Arabidopsis thaliana: one gene and its partners. The protein of the gene in region 1 interacts with the protein of each later gene in a pairwise test. Each region holds a gene or a part of one and is shown on either strand. Other genes may lie near its edges.

Region 1 (5,157 bases):
TATCCATGAAAACAAAAAAATTGTCAGCTCGATTTCATCGAAATTTATAAACTTTATTCCTCAATTCAATTTGGGGTTTGCTTCATTTTTTTCTCCGACCAAACAAGTTCCGGGTGTTTTGAAAGAACCCCGACAATGGCGTGGAACGTGTTCAAGTTCTGCACAGCACTTCGCGCCTTGGGTTCGATCATGATCTTAATTGTTATCGGGATCATCGGATTCACATACTACGCCGTTGTCGTCGTTAATTACGGACCTGCTCTACTGATCGGTGGTGTCGATTCATTACTATCTGTTCTCGTCTTAGCGTTCTTCCACTTTCTGGTAAACTCAATTCTTCCTTCTAGGTCAATCTGAAATTTTTAATCTTTTTGTGACCCTTTTGAAATTTTTGCATTTGGTACCCTCTAGATCTCTGCTAATTACATGATACGCTGGTTTGGACTATGCTTTAGTTACTTACGAATTGTAATCTTTTGGGTTCTGTCAGATGCACCAACTTGATTTTGCTTTGATAATATTGAGTCAAAGCTTGTTGCTTTGTTGTGGTAGTGGGCTCAATCTAGCTTGGCGTGTGGATTTACATTTGTGTCTGTTGGATTTTAAGTAACAGCAAGATGAGATAGTGAATTAGGATAGTATAAGCTAAGTAAGCAATCAAGTATTCATCTTTTTTTTTTTGGTTTGATTTGGTTGTAGTGTAGAGTGTCTTTGTTTCTTTTAGTTTTAAAGCTGTTGGTTTCTTGTGTGTTTTAATAGATTATCAACATTTGAACTCCCTCGCATTGTAGAACTCACAGAGGAAAGAGTAAGGAAGCAAAGGACTCATTTTTTTTATGATTGTTGTTTTGTTTGCAGCTTATAATGCTACTGTGGAGTTATTTCTCTGTTGTTGTGACGGACCCTGGTGGTGTTCCAACGGGTTGGAGGCCAGAATTAGACATAGAGAAAAGCGAGGGAAACCAAGCTTTGATTGGAGAAGCTTCGGTTGGAGATTCCTCGTCTCATGGTGTAAGATATTGTAGAAAGTGCAATCAATATAAACCGCCTCGTTCTCACCATTGTTCAGTCTGTAAGTCTCTTCAATGAGTGATTCTTTTCTTTGAATCCGGTATATGTGTTTTTTAGTAGTGAAAAAGTTGTCATATTGGGTTTTCAGGTGGAAGATGCATACTAAAGATGGACCATCACTGTGTTTGGGTGGTGAATTGTGTTGGTGCAAATAACTACAAATCATTTCTCCTATTCTTGGTATGTCAACTTATCATAGCATCGCTGAACGAAGTTGTTTTTGATATGTTCTGTTCATTAATGTTGCCATGATCATAATCCATTCCCAATATCTCAAAAATGCAGTTTTACACATTTCTTGAGACAACGGTGGTTGCAGTATCACTATTGCCAATTTTCCTCGTATTCTTCAGCGATGGAGATGGTGATATAACCGTATCACCAGGAAGCCTAGCAGCCAGCTTTGTTGCATTTGGTGAGTTCAAAGATATAGAAATCTCAGTTTCCGTTTTTGTTTCAGAACACCTTAACGTTACCATCTGATTCAAAAACTTCACTCTCTTGCTTTCCAGTATTGAACATAGCATTTGCCCTAAGTGTCCTAGGCTTCCTAATAATGCACATAATGTTGGTCGCTCGTAACACCACAACTATTGAGGTAAAGCAACAACTCTCACTTGGTTTTGCTCTTAACTTGGGTTCTCTCAGGAATCTCCATGTCAATAAACTCACTGACCAAACTAATGGTTTCTTTAATCTCAGGCGTATGAGAAGCATACAGTGAACTGGCCATACAACGTTGGTCGTAAGACAAACTTTGAACAGGTTCGCTCTCCATCTTCTTTGTTTCACTCGTTCTTCAGTGACTGATTCGTTTCCCCGCTACTTAGATAATATCTTTGACATCGAACACAATGAAAGCTTTAAAAAGTTTGGTCTCTATTCCTTTGTTGAATCAGGTTTTTGGAAGTGATAAAATGTATTGGTTCGTGCCATTGTACACGGAAGACGATAAGAAGAAGTTGCCAGCACTTGGAGGGTTAGACTTTACGAGCAGGTCGGAGTCCGAGACAGAGCCGCTTCAGTCTCTATGACCTTACAAACTTGAAATTTTTGGAAGTGTGTCTTCTGCTTTGTGTATGTATCAATCAAATATTATATCAAACATTGTCTTGTGTATTATAAAGATTAGTGCCTATTGTGGAATTTGTATCTTTTTATTTCGTGAAAAGAAATTTCTCAAACTTCTTAAATATACCATTTTCACATTTGCTTAAATATACCATTTTCATTTTTTCACTATTGATAATAATAACATGTTATTTATCATAAAAAATAAAAAAATCACGACACGTGAATGATGTACTGTAACTATCAAAGATTTGACGTACCACATACTTTCTGTATGTTTTTGATCGAATCAAAAATAATTATTTTTGTCCTTTTTTGTTTTATTGTTATTTTATAATGTAATACTTTTACTAAAATAATTTTTTTTAAAAACTAAATTTCTGGTCTATATAATTTTGGCCAAATATGTACATATTTAAAATCCAGAGTCAACCATTTAACAAACACTTGGAAATTTAATTAATTATTATGCCCTGTTTAGTAGAAAATCCATTAAAAATTACAGAAATGGTCTGCGTGTCGCATTGAACCAATCATATCTCGACATCTGTAAATACAGTTGGAGAAGATTTTTTCTTCTTCTGCTGGCCAAAAAAAAACATTGCATTAAAAAGGGTTCAAAGAAAAATTCTCAAATTCTCTAACAAAGAGCTCTGAGATTTTTGGAAATCTGAATCGTTGTTCGAGGTATGAACTTTTGGATCACTCTCCTTGAATCTGCTCTTTGATTCGATTTCGTACTTGAATTTCGCAATTTTGGAGTTTTCTCTCGCTTCGTTATACTGATCGTTTAGGGCTTGAAATTGAAGGTTTAATGTTACCATTTCCGGCAATGAACTTGAAGAAGTCTCGATCGGAAAACTCATCAGTTGCTTCATCTGGAAGTAAGATTGAGGAGCAGACTGAGAAATCAGCTGAACCAACAACCATTAAGGTAAACCTCACTAAACCTAAACCCGGTTTCAATTTTGCTTTGTGGTCTCTCTTTACCACACAGATCTTATCATTGAATTCTATCTCTTAATTAGGGTTTTAGTTGAGAATCTTAAGGTTTTTTTTCAACCAGTTTCGAAGACTTAGTTACTAGTGTTATTTGACGAACTGATGCAGACATAAAGGTTATAACTTTATTTCTCGTTGTGTCTTTGGCTGATCAGTTATGTATAAAATTTAATCAATATTTATGCTATTTAAGGTTTCGCAGTGACCCTTTTCTTCAAATTTGGTTTTTGATTCTGCATGTTCTCAGTATCACTCTTTTGGTGGTGTCCCTGTTTTGACTTTTGTGTTTCTCTACGCATGTTTTCTCATCTTGCTATATATTAAACGATTTGTAGTATGATTCTGTTGATCCAAGTAGCTTGTGAGTGACTGTTCTTCTTTTCACCGAGATTCCATATTTGTATTGTGCAGGTGCAGAAAAAAGCCGGTACTCCAGGGAGGTCGATAGATGTCTTTGCTGTGCAGTGTGAGAAGTGCATGAAGTGGAGGAAGATTGATACTCAAGATGAGTATGAAGATATCAGAAGTAGAGTACAAGAGGACCCGTTTTTTTGCAAGACGAAAGAAGGTGTGTCCTGTGAAGATGTTGGAGATCTAAACTATGATTCCTCCAGAACATGGGTCATCGACAAGCCTGGCTTGCCGAGGACACCAAGAGGGTTCAAAAGGAGCTTAATTCTGAGAAAGGATTACTCGAAAATGGATGCGTACTACATAACTCCTACTGGGAAGAAGCTCAAGTCTCGTAATGAAATCGCAGCCTTCATCGATGCCAATCAGGATTACAAGTATGCACTGCTTGGAGATTTCAATTTCACAGTCCCAAAGGTGATGGAAGAGACGGTTCCTAGTGGGATATTATCTGACAGGACCCCCAAGCCATCAAGGAAAGTTACAATTGATTGAGCTACATAGCGCTTCCCAGCTTCTTATGGTGTTGAAGTTGTTATTGGAGTCAGTTTTAGGTTTCTATCTGGTTTAGTCTTTTAAGGGTGTCGGACTTCTTACTGTAGAATGTTTCTTAAACTCATCTCTTTGACTCTGATTGGATCTTTATTTTCTAATGAAGGATTATCTTTTCTTCTCTTTTTGTTATGTCACAAGTCACAACTACATGAATCGCTCTGGTTTTCACTCAGTGTGTACAAACAAACACGACAAAGTATATTCAAGCAGCATGTGTACAACTTCTTCTACTCCAAGCGCACCCTCTGCTATAGCGTGCGGTGTGCAAGTCCTCGCTTATGGGCTATTTATCCCATTCAACATTGAGTATTGGTCATAACCTCTTGGGACTGAGAGCTTTATGAAAAGAAGCCTTAAACAATGATTGCATATTTGGGATTTTCAAAAAGAAGACTCACAACATAACTTTATGTATGTTTCCGCTCTTGGGTTTTCTGACCAGCCCTTGAAGCTAGTCCTTTCTCAAGGTTTTGTGTATGTTTCATTAGTTTTTGTTTGTATCTGGAGTCTACCGTTTATTAGAAGTTTAGGTTGCTCCTTCCACCGTCCTTACTCCTTGGTTTAGTTGAATAAGCAGTTTTCTCATGTGGTCTTACTTGGTATGTAAAGGCTAACCTTTTGTGGGCATGCAAAGTTCTAAATTTAGACTCTTTAGGATGAAGATTACATGGCTACAATTTTTGATTCTTATATGTGATTTTTTCTTCTTGTTATTCGTCGTATTTGGGGTCCTTTTTCGCGATTTACATTTGCCTCGAAGACTGCTTGTGAGCTTTTGTAGTTCTGCATCTACTGTTCTTTCCGCGCTTTCTGTTGACTGCGAGTGTGGTTTTCACATTATTTTGTTTGGTGGTAGCATTTTTTCTTAAACTTCGGTGGTTATTTTAAGTTATGTTCAAAGTTTTGTTTGTAATTTCGTGGTTCCGAATGAGTAGCGGCTTGATTATCCGTATTACTTTTGGGTTTGATTTTTCGAATCACTCTCGAGCTTTGTTCCTAATTTATGCAGTTTGTGTTCAACTTGTAACTTTTTTTGTATATGCAATC
Region 2 (4,879 bases), on another chromosome or scaffold:
AAGACAAGTTGTGTGTTTCGACATATCATTCCTCTTCCTCATCTTTAACTTACTCGTTTTCTTTCAAACGTAGCATTATATTATTATTTCCATCATCTTTATAATAACATGTTTTTTTTTTGTTTTGGGTGCCTATATGTGTTTTGAATTCGTTAGAACATTCAAATTAGTTTAATGTTTTGGAACGAAACTATAGTCATGTCAAACATACTAAACTACGTTTTACAGATATTAAATTAAAATTCTCAAAAATATTTTAATGTTTTGGTATGAAACTATAATCAAGTAAAACATACTATATTTAAATTTCAAAATTGTTCATATATGACATACTTTTTTTTTTTGAATAAACGAGAAATTAAAGTAGAAAATAATTAACATTTTTACCATGATAATTAAAACACGGTTAATATTTCTAACCAAAAAAAATTAAGAATCTATTAGCTAGTTCATATAGTTATTCACGTACCTCTTCAAGATATGTACGTTAAAATTGTCATCAGAATCTGTAGTCCTTGTAGAGTAAAAAATATCAAATATTAACATAAAAGAACAAACAACTGTTGATTCAGTACATAAATTAATACATTAAATTGACCACAGAGACCAAAATAATCTAAAAATGATTTATGTATTTGGCTTAAGTTCAATATTGTTTTTTAGGCAAAACTTAATGTTCAATATATATTCATGGAATTAACTCCATAATAAACAGTAACTGAATTCTCTTGTACTTTCTTAAATGGTTTTCAGTAAAAAGGTTTAGTTTAACCAACAAATAACTTTAGCAATCATCTATATAAGCATAAAGCATCACATAGATCTAGTAGTTATGTTTCTATAATACATTTTCACTAAGACTAAAACATGCATGAACACACAAACAGGAAAAAACTATTCTCAAGAAGTTTGTTTCCCACCATGTTAAGTGATTCTAGAAATCTGTAAATGGTTAACCTTTAGTATTCATTCGTGCAATATTTAACAGACAAATGGTATTCATTCGTGCATCTCTCAGTTTGTGAGAAAATACATTGCATGAGTTCGTTATTAACTGGAAATAATACATAAAACTCTGACAATCAGAACCTCTAAATTATTTACTTATAAGAAGAGAGGCAACGTATCTTGCATCGCTTTTACTTATCTAATCTTTTGGTGATGGAAGGGGCAAGAACATAGAAGGAATCTTTATCTTAAAAGAAGAGAAAACAAATAATATCCAAAATTGGTAAATCCATTGAATAAAGCCTAACGTTAACATCAAATCGCATGCGGATTAGAAGCTAAATGCACATAGTTAAGCGTAATCTATGGGGAGAAATTAATTACCACTTTTTGGTTCATTCTTTTAAGTTTTATGATTCAATGAATACATAGCACGTGGAACCTCTCTCCCCCACAACCCATTTTGAAGGGAAATGAATAATTAAAAGAGACATACACATAAGAAAGCACATGGCTTTACCATTCCTCTATCAATTACCAACACATTTGACCCTTATCCACATGGGTCTTCGTCTCCTATTATAAAATCAAAATCTACACACAAAATGTTATAACATTTTCCAACTCACAATATACAAAATGCCACGCATAAATATGTCTTCGCAAGACAAATATGTAACGTTTAATATTCGATATTATCTGAGATTTAACCATAAAACTAATATTTCTTTATTAATCAAATTACATCTACGAGCAAAAATGATAAAATTCAACTTATGCACATTCAATAGTTCGTAACACATAAGAGTACTTGGAAACTCTAAATAATCTTCATTTTGGAATCAGGATTCAATAAAATAGTACTTTATTTGACATAAGTGTCCTTTTAACCATTTTTTACACCATACGTTTTTTCTTCTGAATCGAAATTTTTACATCATACTTTCAAAACATCTATTAATCTTTTAAGTTAAAAATTAATAAATCAATAGAAGTAAACTAAAAATAATAATCAACTTTCACATCAAATTTTAAGACAACACATTATATTTAAATATATATTAAGAATATCTATTATGCAACAAATGGATTAACAATCATTAGCACTTGATATTTTCTTTATAACCTGCACTATACACTTTCAAAAAGAGAAGAAGAAACCTTTAAGAAACAGTAAATAAATGTTATTATAATACACCTCTTTAGTCTTTACTTTATTTATATTTTCTCTGTTTGCTTTTATTCCGGGTCGGCCGATAGAATTCTCATCATTTCATTCATTTTTATATTCTTTCGTTATAATTATTATACATCCTTTGAAAGAAAAAGAAGAGGCAATAGAGATGGACGGCTAAGATGTTAACGTAAACAAAGTTGGCGGAGGGAAAAGAGGAGCGTGGAATAATTAAACAAAAGAGTCGTGTCCACATGGGCGGCCTCAAGCTTCGTGTCCCACTTTTGTCCCCTTGCCTCTTTCTTGCCTTTCATGCTTCCGACAACACTTCTCTCTCTTCCTTTAACCCTAACTTCGATGCTCCTTTATATATATCTCTCTCCCCTTTTCTCCAAAACTCATCAACCAGCTCACCAAGAACAAGAACAAGAAGAAGAAGAACAAGACAAGAAGAACAAAGTACCCAAGAAAACACACAAGAAGGAAACACAAAGATTGATATTGATCCAAAAGCAATGGCGTACGAGAAAGTCAACGAGCTTAACCTTAAGGACACAGAGCTATGTCTTGGATTACCCGGAAGAACAGAGAAGATCAAAGAAGAACAAGAGGTTTCTTGCGTTAAAAGTAACAACAAGCGTCTATTTGAGGAAACTCGTGATGAAGAAGAATCTACACCTCCTACCAAGTAAGTAGAAGAGATCTGAGTTTCAAATTGGCTTCTTTCAAATTATTGGCTCTTGAATAGTTTTACTAATCTTTCTTTCCTCAAATTTACAGAACTCAAATCGTTGGTTGGCCACCAGTGAGATCTTCCCGTAAGAACAACAACAGTGTGAGCTACGTGAAAGTGAGTATGGACGGAGCTCCTTACCTTCGCAAGATCGATCTCAAGACATACAAAAACTACCCCGAGCTTCTCAAAGCGTTAGAGAATATGTTCAAAGTCATGATTGGTGAATATTGTGAGAGAGAAGGATACAAAGGATCTGGATTTGTACCAACATACGAAGATAAAGATGGTGACTGGATGTTGGTTGGTGATGTTCCATGGGACATGTTCTCTTCTTCTTGTAAGAGACTCAGAATCATGAAGGGATCCGACGCTCCTGCTCTAGACTCTTCCTTATGATCCAGAGAAGCTGAGAATCTTTTGTCTAAAAAGGAGATGATGACTATGATCGATGAATGAAAAACCCTTTTTGGTTTGATTCGGATCGGAGTTTGACTAAAGTTGACCGTGAAAGACGAAACTTCGGGGTTTTGTCCGACGAGAGATCCATCTCTAGTGATGTTCTTTTTGTTTTTGTATTTAGATTTGAAGTTTGATGTAAAGATACATGAGATTTTATGTATAATACGGACACATACACAATCTATAGATGTATAATGTATTAAGTAGTTATGTCCTATAAGATCATCAGTTTTCTGTTCTTGATCACGAACATAATATTTTAAATTTCAGAAACTTATACACATTTGTTTAGCCAAGGTTATTTATTAACTTTTTTTTTTGTTTAAAGTTTAACCAAGGTTATTATTTACTTATTCAGCAAAACATTTACCACCACATGAGACAAATTTTCTATAATGCCTTCCCAAAACACATCCACAATTCTATAGATAGGCCTTGTCGATCAAAAGATTTCAAAAACAATTTTTCTTTTTGATGAATTGTAAATGACTCTGTCTCTTCAGCTTATTAGATGTTTTAGCTAAACTGCAAGAATTATTATGTAATAATTTTGTTATATTAAAAACAGAAATTAATATCTAACCTAAACAATTCAACCAATTGTAAAAAAATATTACATAATAATATAAGTCTGATAACATATGAAATTGAAAAACACAATTTAATATAATAAAACTGAGAAAATAATATTAGTTTTTCTAGGGTAAAGGTTATTAATATTACATAAAAACATAATAATATTAATAAAACACAATTTAAGATTATAGATTTTTAGACTACAAAAGGGCTCATGGGAAGTTCTCGAACCGGAACTGAACCAAAATACCGAACGCCAATGACTAGTTTTCAAGTATGTTTTTTTCATTATGTGAACCAAGTAATAAAAAATCATTTCTCTTCTAATAGGGTTCTTATGTGCATATGATCAAGGTTTTGGGATTATTTGGAAATCAAATATATAAAGAGTTGTTTTCTATAAATAAATAAAACTTCAGGAGTTTACAGCTTTTTATTTCCTTTAAGGGCTTAAACTATTACGAAATTATCAATTTAATCCTCAAATGTATTCTCTTTCCAATCGGACAAAGGACCTTTGCGCGCGCAATTTTATCCATTAGCAACAACGCCAGAAAAAAATCTCGTCAGAATTTTACAGAGAATCACGTTCGCCGGAGAAGTATATACCACCTTCGTCGCAATTGGCGGTGCAAATTCTTTTCCTTTTCTCTAGTGAATAAACTAATGCTCGTTGCAGTTGAAAAATGTTGTTGAATCTTCGTCTAGATGGAAGTAGCTTACATGTTCTCTGTTCTACAAAAACCTTACCGATTTCTTCGCCTCTCGATAAATTCCCATCTTTCAAGAAATTGAAGCAGAATTACGTACCAGGAACTCACGAGAGTGACAAAGGACCACAGAGAAGCACCAGAAATGGCGACAGAGGTTGTGGTACCGTTGCTCATGAAGTTGTCGCCGGAAAAAACTTACTTTTAGTAAACCCAAGTAATGGTTGCGTCGGAAAATCAGGGATCATTGATGGGTTTGTTGATAAGAGAAGTAAA
Region 3 (6,160 bases), on another chromosome or scaffold:
TTGAATGTACAGATCAACGTACTTCTATTCGTACCCAACTCCAACACACACTTGTTCAGTGCCAACCATTCTTCTCATATCTTCCCTCCATTCATTTTCTTGTCGGTCCTTATAATCTTTCCCTCAAGATTTTCCTTGTTACTTTATAAATATATTATTTTGTGTCTATCCATTATTATGAATATAATGCAAGAGGGTCTCATCACTACCAGCAACTAATAATCAACGAATAGATGGTGTTATTAAATTTTGTCCTCATATATATATTTGGCGATCTTAAAATTTATACATGTTCCAGCGAATGGTCGAAATCTGATCAGTACAACCTTCAAATGATCTTTTGCGGTGGAAGCCAACTCATTTTAACACACTCGTGGCTTAACAAGATCAAAACATTATATTCTGTTTTATAATAGTTTCTTTTGAGCTTTAATAATTACTCTTCTTTCCCAAAAGTTTCATAATATTTCTTTGCAATAACTCCGGCAAACAATTCTTATTTGTTAAATAGTAAAAGTAACACGTTGACAAGACAAAAAATGATTATTCCCTACATTGTAAGTGTAAAACACCAAAGCACAACGAATAAAATAAAATAAAAGTTTCTTAGCCGTTTGTGTTTTTCTTTTCCCAAAAGTTTATATTAAGTGTCAAAGTACAAGTTAATTAGTTCTAATCAGCTGAACACAACTATACATATACACATTAAACTGTCATTTAGTCTTAAGTGTTTGACATTGGTTAATTCTAACTCAAAATTGCTGAATTCGTAGCATTAATGAACCCCAGTTTTGTGTTATGTACAGAAAATATTGACTCGTGGCGTGGGGGAAACAAAGACTTTAACCAATGTCCAATGACAATTGTTTGTGACACTAGGCTATAAATATTTTAGGCCCAGTGGGCTTCGTTTTATTTTCCCATGTAAATGTTTATTAATCAAACCTAGAAAACCAAACGGCTAGGATTAAGTAAGCCCAAATTAAAAGTTGAGGCCCATACAAAGAGAACACAAAAGAAACCCTAAGGAACTTGTAACTATATAAAAGCTCCGACTTCGATTCGGCGTCTCTTTCCTTCACCTGAGCGGACGAAAACACTCAAGCTTGCAGAGATCTTTCACTTTAATCCTTGAGAAGTAGCAAAAATGGCTGAAAAGGCGGTCACCATCCGAACCAGGAAATTCATGACCAACAGACTTCTCTCCAGGAAGCAGTTCGTGAGTTCCATTATTTTTTTTCTCTTCTCTATCTGCATATCATTTTTGTTCTTCTGGGTTTTGTTTTAATGGGAATCTAGTTATAATTTGATATGAACCCAATCTCGAGAGAATGCATTCGTTGTCTCGTCAAATTTTTATAATTGGGGTTTGATGTTTTAGGTCAGGCTTTCAGATTTACGACCTAATGTTAAAGCATAGATAGTGTTTAGATCATATAGTATTGATCTGGCGCAATTTAGTTCCGTTTGAGATTTTGGAATGAAATTCTAAGTTATGGTGGATTGTTGAAAATATAGGTTATTGATGTTCTTCACCCTGGAAGAGCCAATGTTTCAAAGGTTTGTTCTTTACTCACTTTGTTACTTCATCTATTTCGAGTTCTGATAGACTATGAGAGGTTCTAACGGGAGAGTTGGTTTTATTTTTGCAAGGCTGAGCTGAAGGAGAAGCTAGCAAGGATGTACGAGGTCAAGGATCCAAATGCAATCTTCGTATTCAAATTCAGAACCCACTTTGGAGGTGGTAAATCATCCGGGTTTGGTTTGATCTATGATACTGTTGAGAGCGCTAAGAAGTTTGAACCCAAATACAGACTTATCAGGGTAAATGCTTTTTCCACTCTTGTTTCCATTGTTATATATTGCTACTCACATTGACCCGTCTTAAATCATTACTCTTGCTCATTACTGTTTGTCTGAAAATTATAAGCTATGTGATAAGTTTCGGACTTTATATCGTATTGCACTTGGTGTTCTCTGCATCTTTATACTTAAACATGCTTTGTCTATGTGGTTGGCAGAATGGACTTGACACTAAGATTGAGAAGTCAAGGAAACAAATTAAGGAAAGGAAGAACAGGGCGAAGAAAATCCGTGGTGTTAAGAAGGTATGTATACTGGTTTTCCCTCTTGCTATCTTCTGTTTTTGATTGTGACTGTAGCTTTAAGAATCTGTTTTGATCAATGTTTGCAGACAAAGGCTGGTGATGCCAAGAAGAAGTGAGATCCTGAAGAGAGAATCTTTATCTTGTGGGTTCTTGTTCTCCATAATCAATCACCTTTTATGTTATTTGTCCGCTGTTAGATCGTTTCTCCAACTAGACATGTTTACTGAAATCTGAGATTTTCGTTTATTTTTGTTTTGGTCAGTTTATGTTTTGAGTTTAGAGAAACATATGATCCAAGGTTTTTGTTCAATACAACTATTTAATCTCTCTCTCGTCTCTTTCCACCATTCCCATGCGCAGCAGATATAAGCATTTTCTTGTTCCTTAGGTGATTTAATTCTTGATCGGTTACTCGTGCGGCTGTGTTTGATTGTAAACGTGAGTCTCTCTGGCTATTATCGATGTTATTTACCCACATATAATGAAAATTTACTTAGATCATAATTATGAAATCTCGCAAAGTTTCTAATTTATTATATCACTTTTGCTCCTTACTATTTTAATGGAAAAACTGTGATAATTACATGTCAATCACTGAATTTGAACAGTAATTATAATTTTCTATACCGCACAACATATGCTTATTTTGGTTTTGGGTACTGTCTTATTAGTTACATACGGTTTAGGTTGGCTTGTTTGTTTGTTTTGTCCTAGCTAATCACGTTAATGAAAACGCTCTACCAAATAACCGCGTTTAGAAAACGCTATTAGTTACCGAGTGTGGTTGGGACCGAGTGAGGACGTCACGGCTCCAACCAATCCGCAAATAAGGAAGCGCGTGTGTGTAAGTAGTGGGTGACCACTTTGCCTAGTCTTAAACGTTAAGTCTGGAAATACCAAAACTACCCCTGGTTTGGTCGAAGATTCTCACGCCCCTACCACCCAACCCAATCACAATCCTCGTGAACGAACACACCACCTTCTCTCCAATCTGGATCTGGTTCCTCTTCTTCTTGGTCTCTTCTCCATCTCATCGGAGCTGATCTCGAATTGTTCTCCGTTCATTTGTTACGGTGGAGATGACATCGGATCACCGCGACGCTCTTTTCTCTCTGGAACTGGAATCGCCTGATCCGGACGAAGGAGGTGTAGCAGACGGAGGAGAATCTGATACCGACGAGGATTTGCGCGACAACGATGATGTTGTTATGCCGGGAACGAACGAAGCTGAAGCTGAAGACGACGATCCCGAAGAGGAAGATCTCAATTCTCCGTCTACATCATCACTCCCCATGGTTTCTACGATCTCAGCGACTGCTGTTGTTTCCGGGACCCCGACGGCGACTTCCTCTACAGGCGCCGTGACCGTTGCACTTCCGGCTGGATCCGCCGTCCCTGTCTCCGTGATTCCCGTTGATTCCGATCCGAAGTGGCACCGTATGACGGAGATCGTCCATCAGAGACCACCGATCGATGATTCTAGACGCCTTTTCCAGAGGCTGTGGACAGACGAAGACGAGATCGAGCTTCTTCGTGGTTTTCTCGATTACATGACGATGCACCGCGGAAGCAGCTCGCATCCGCCGGATACGGCGCCGTTTTATGAGCAGATAAAGTCGAAACTTCAGCTGGATTTCAACAAGAACCAGCTGGTGGAGAAGCTTCGGAGATTGAAGAAGAAGTACAGGAATGTGATGAGCAAGATCAGCTCTGGTAAAGAGGTATTCTTCAAGAGCCCTCATGATCAGTCTACTTTCGAGATTTCTAGAAAAATCTGGAACCAAACTGGGAAAATCATAGGCTTTGAAGATAACAACGTAATGGATTTCGAAGAAACCAATAACCATCATAACACCACCAATGGTAACTACTCAACCTTTAACAGCCCTAGTTCTAATCCTACTCTGGAGCTCGACTCCGAAAATGGAATCGAGAAGAAATTGACAATGAGTAGCAGTAGCGTGTCGAGAAAACGATCACGATCAAGAATTGGGAAGATTGAGGAAGACAACAAACCTGTCATCACTCCCTCTGATGGGCCAATAGCTAGCAATGTCAACCTCAACGAAGCTGCAGCTGTTGGTATTGGAGGAAATCTCGGGGGTTTGATCGAAGAGACTGTGAAAAACTGTGTCTCTCCTGTGATCAAAGAGATGATGAATGGGACAACAAGTATGATGATGGCTGCAATGGGAGGAGGGTTTCCGGGTCTTGGTGGTGGTGGTGGTGGTGGTGGTGGTCATGGTTTTGGCTCGCTAAGCCCCATGTTTACACGGCCGTTCAATTTCGGTTTTGGTGTAGAGGGAGGAGGAAACAAGGCGGTTGCAGATGAGCGGTGGAGGAAACAACAGATTCTGGAATTGGAAGTGTATTCAAGGAGATTAGAGTTGGTTCAAGAGCAGATTAGAACGACATTGAACGAGTTAAAGACGATGCCGAGTGGTATATGATGAAGGGCGAGAAGAATAAGACAACAAGGAACCATTTAGGTTGATATTTGATATCTTTGAGTTAACCTTCTGGTGTGTGAGTGAGTATAGTAAGAGATTTGGATCTTTTTAAGTTATAAATTGGTAAGGTATTGTGATCTTTCTCTAGGTTTTTTCATCATTTTGATTTTTTTTTCTTCTTCTTATCTTTAAATTATTTGTCAATAGGGATGAATCATAGGAGGGGGGTTTGTGTATAACCTTTTGTATTAGATTATAGTTCTTTTTTCGTAGAATCATTTGTTCAATAACAAACAGACTTTCTAGCTGTTTTTCTTTCAAAAAGAAGAAAAATAATAATTCTAAATTGTGTGCTACTCTTTCTTTGTCTAATAAAATCTGTAATAACATGTTTATTTCTAGATCGGATACTGTTATTGAAGTGTATTAAACTTTGACCTCTTTCTTTATCATGTTGATTAATGTAGTTACTTAAAAACTTTTGTGTTTGAAAAAAAGAACCAATGTTGTGTTTCTTGCTAGTACGCATCAGAAGATTCCTTTCCTGATTAAGTAAAAAAAAAAAGGCATAATCAAAACAATTTAAAGATTCAAGAAGGCAGAAACTTGTCCACGTGACGAGGCAAAGAATGTTAGGTAGGTTTGTTATTGACTTTATAGTTTATACAATGATTTTAACAAAATACCTATGGAAGATACATGATTATTTTTTATAAATGTATAAACGAGTGGATATATTTGGTGGTGGATGATGGTGTGTGTGTATATGCAAATAATTCACTTTATAAAAGCTTATCGCTAATTTGACAGAACACTAGAACAGTTCTCTCTTTTTGTCGACAGTCTTCTTCTTCTTCTTCTTCTTCGATTGGATCTGGAACTGGTAAGCTCTTCTATAAGTCTCTGGTTTTGTATCTTTCGAACTGTTCTTTTGTTTCTCTCTCCAAAAATTTCAAACTTTCATAATTTCGCCTCCTCAAGTTCGATTTCAGCTCAAGAACACGAATGCTTCACTCACTTGTTTCATTGTTAAATCTTATATTTAGTTTGATACTCATGTTTTCTGCTGTTCGATTTTTTTTTTTCTCTGATTTATATTCGAGTTTGAACTTAAATCATGGTTTTGGTTTCACTTTACAATTTTGGATCTCATGCAGTTTCAAAACACTCTTCGATTTATATGAATGTTTTATATTATTAGGGACATTGCTTGCAGACTGTGTCTTAAATCTTTTTGATTTTCTTGTGATCTTCAGAACTCAAATTGGGAAGAATTTTGACATGGAGGAGGACCGGTGTTCGATCAAGGATGATGCAACTCAAGTAATCATAATCTTTCAGTTGTCTTTTTTAATCAACTGCTTCACTGGAATAAAGTTCTAGTTCCTTTGCTCAAGTAAAATGTACTTAGTTCCTTGCATACTGTGTCAGTTGATAGGTAACACCCCAATGGTATATCTGAACAACATTGTGGATGGTTGTGTAGCTCGTATTGCAGCTAAGCTTGAAATGATGGAGCCTTGCTCTAGTGTCAAGGAGCGGTATATATACAAATAACCCTCTCTCTATCTCTTTTGTCTGCTCCAAGCAATGTTTGTTCTT

What was found. Proteins that work in one complex are often made in the same cells at the same time.
Region 2: the proteins of MBD1 (region 1) and IAA2 interact in binary tests that used the Arabidopsis thaliana proteins (3 or more experiments, as listed by UniProt).
Region 3: the proteins of MBD1 (region 1) and AT3G04930 interact in binary tests that used the Arabidopsis thaliana proteins (3 or more experiments, as listed by UniProt).

The regions. Positions count from the first base shown.
Region 1 is NC_003075.7:11,946,314-11,951,470, reverse strand, and holds MBD1 (methyl-CPG-binding domain 1), read left to right. Parts: upstream 1-2,666; 5' UTR 2,667-2,829; intron 2,830-2,951; 5' UTR 2,952-2,956; coding exon 2,957-3,076; intron 3,077-3,555; coding exon 3,556-4,050; 3' UTR 4,051-4,261; downstream 4,262-5,157. Other genes in the region: AT4G22750 (DHHC-type zinc finger protein), read left to right, coding at 136-324, 859-1,072, 1,160-1,251, 1,357-1,486, 1,584-1,669, 1,774-1,836, 1,971-2,105. UniProt on the Arabidopsis thaliana protein: Probable transcriptional regulator.
Region 2 is NC_003074.8:8,179,444-8,184,322, reverse strand, and holds IAA2 (indole-3-acetic acid inducible 2), read left to right. Parts: upstream 1-2,227; 5' UTR 2,228-2,376; coding exon 2,377-2,810; intron 2,811-2,902; coding exon 2,903-3,254; 3' UTR 3,255-3,677; downstream 3,678-4,879. Other genes in the region: AT3G23020 (Tetratricopeptide repeat (TPR)-like superfamily protein), read left to right, coding at 4,580-4,879. UniProt on the Arabidopsis thaliana protein: Aux/IAA proteins are short-lived transcriptional factors that function as repressors of early auxin response genes at low auxin concentrations.
Region 3 is NC_003074.8:1,359,842-1,366,001, forward strand, and holds AT3G04930 (DNA-binding storekeeper protein-related transcriptional regulator), read left to right. Parts: upstream 1-2,655; 5' UTR 2,656-3,187; coding exon 3,188-4,558; 3' UTR 4,559-4,778; coding exon of another isoform or gene 4,779-4,810; 3' UTR 4,811-4,958; downstream 4,959-6,160. Other genes in the region: AT3G04920 (Ribosomal protein S24e family protein), read left to right, coding at 1,148-1,219, 1,519-1,560, 1,654-1,824, 2,022-2,108, 2,195-2,224; CYSD1 (cysteine synthase D1), read left to right, coding at 5,840-5,881, 5,990-6,099.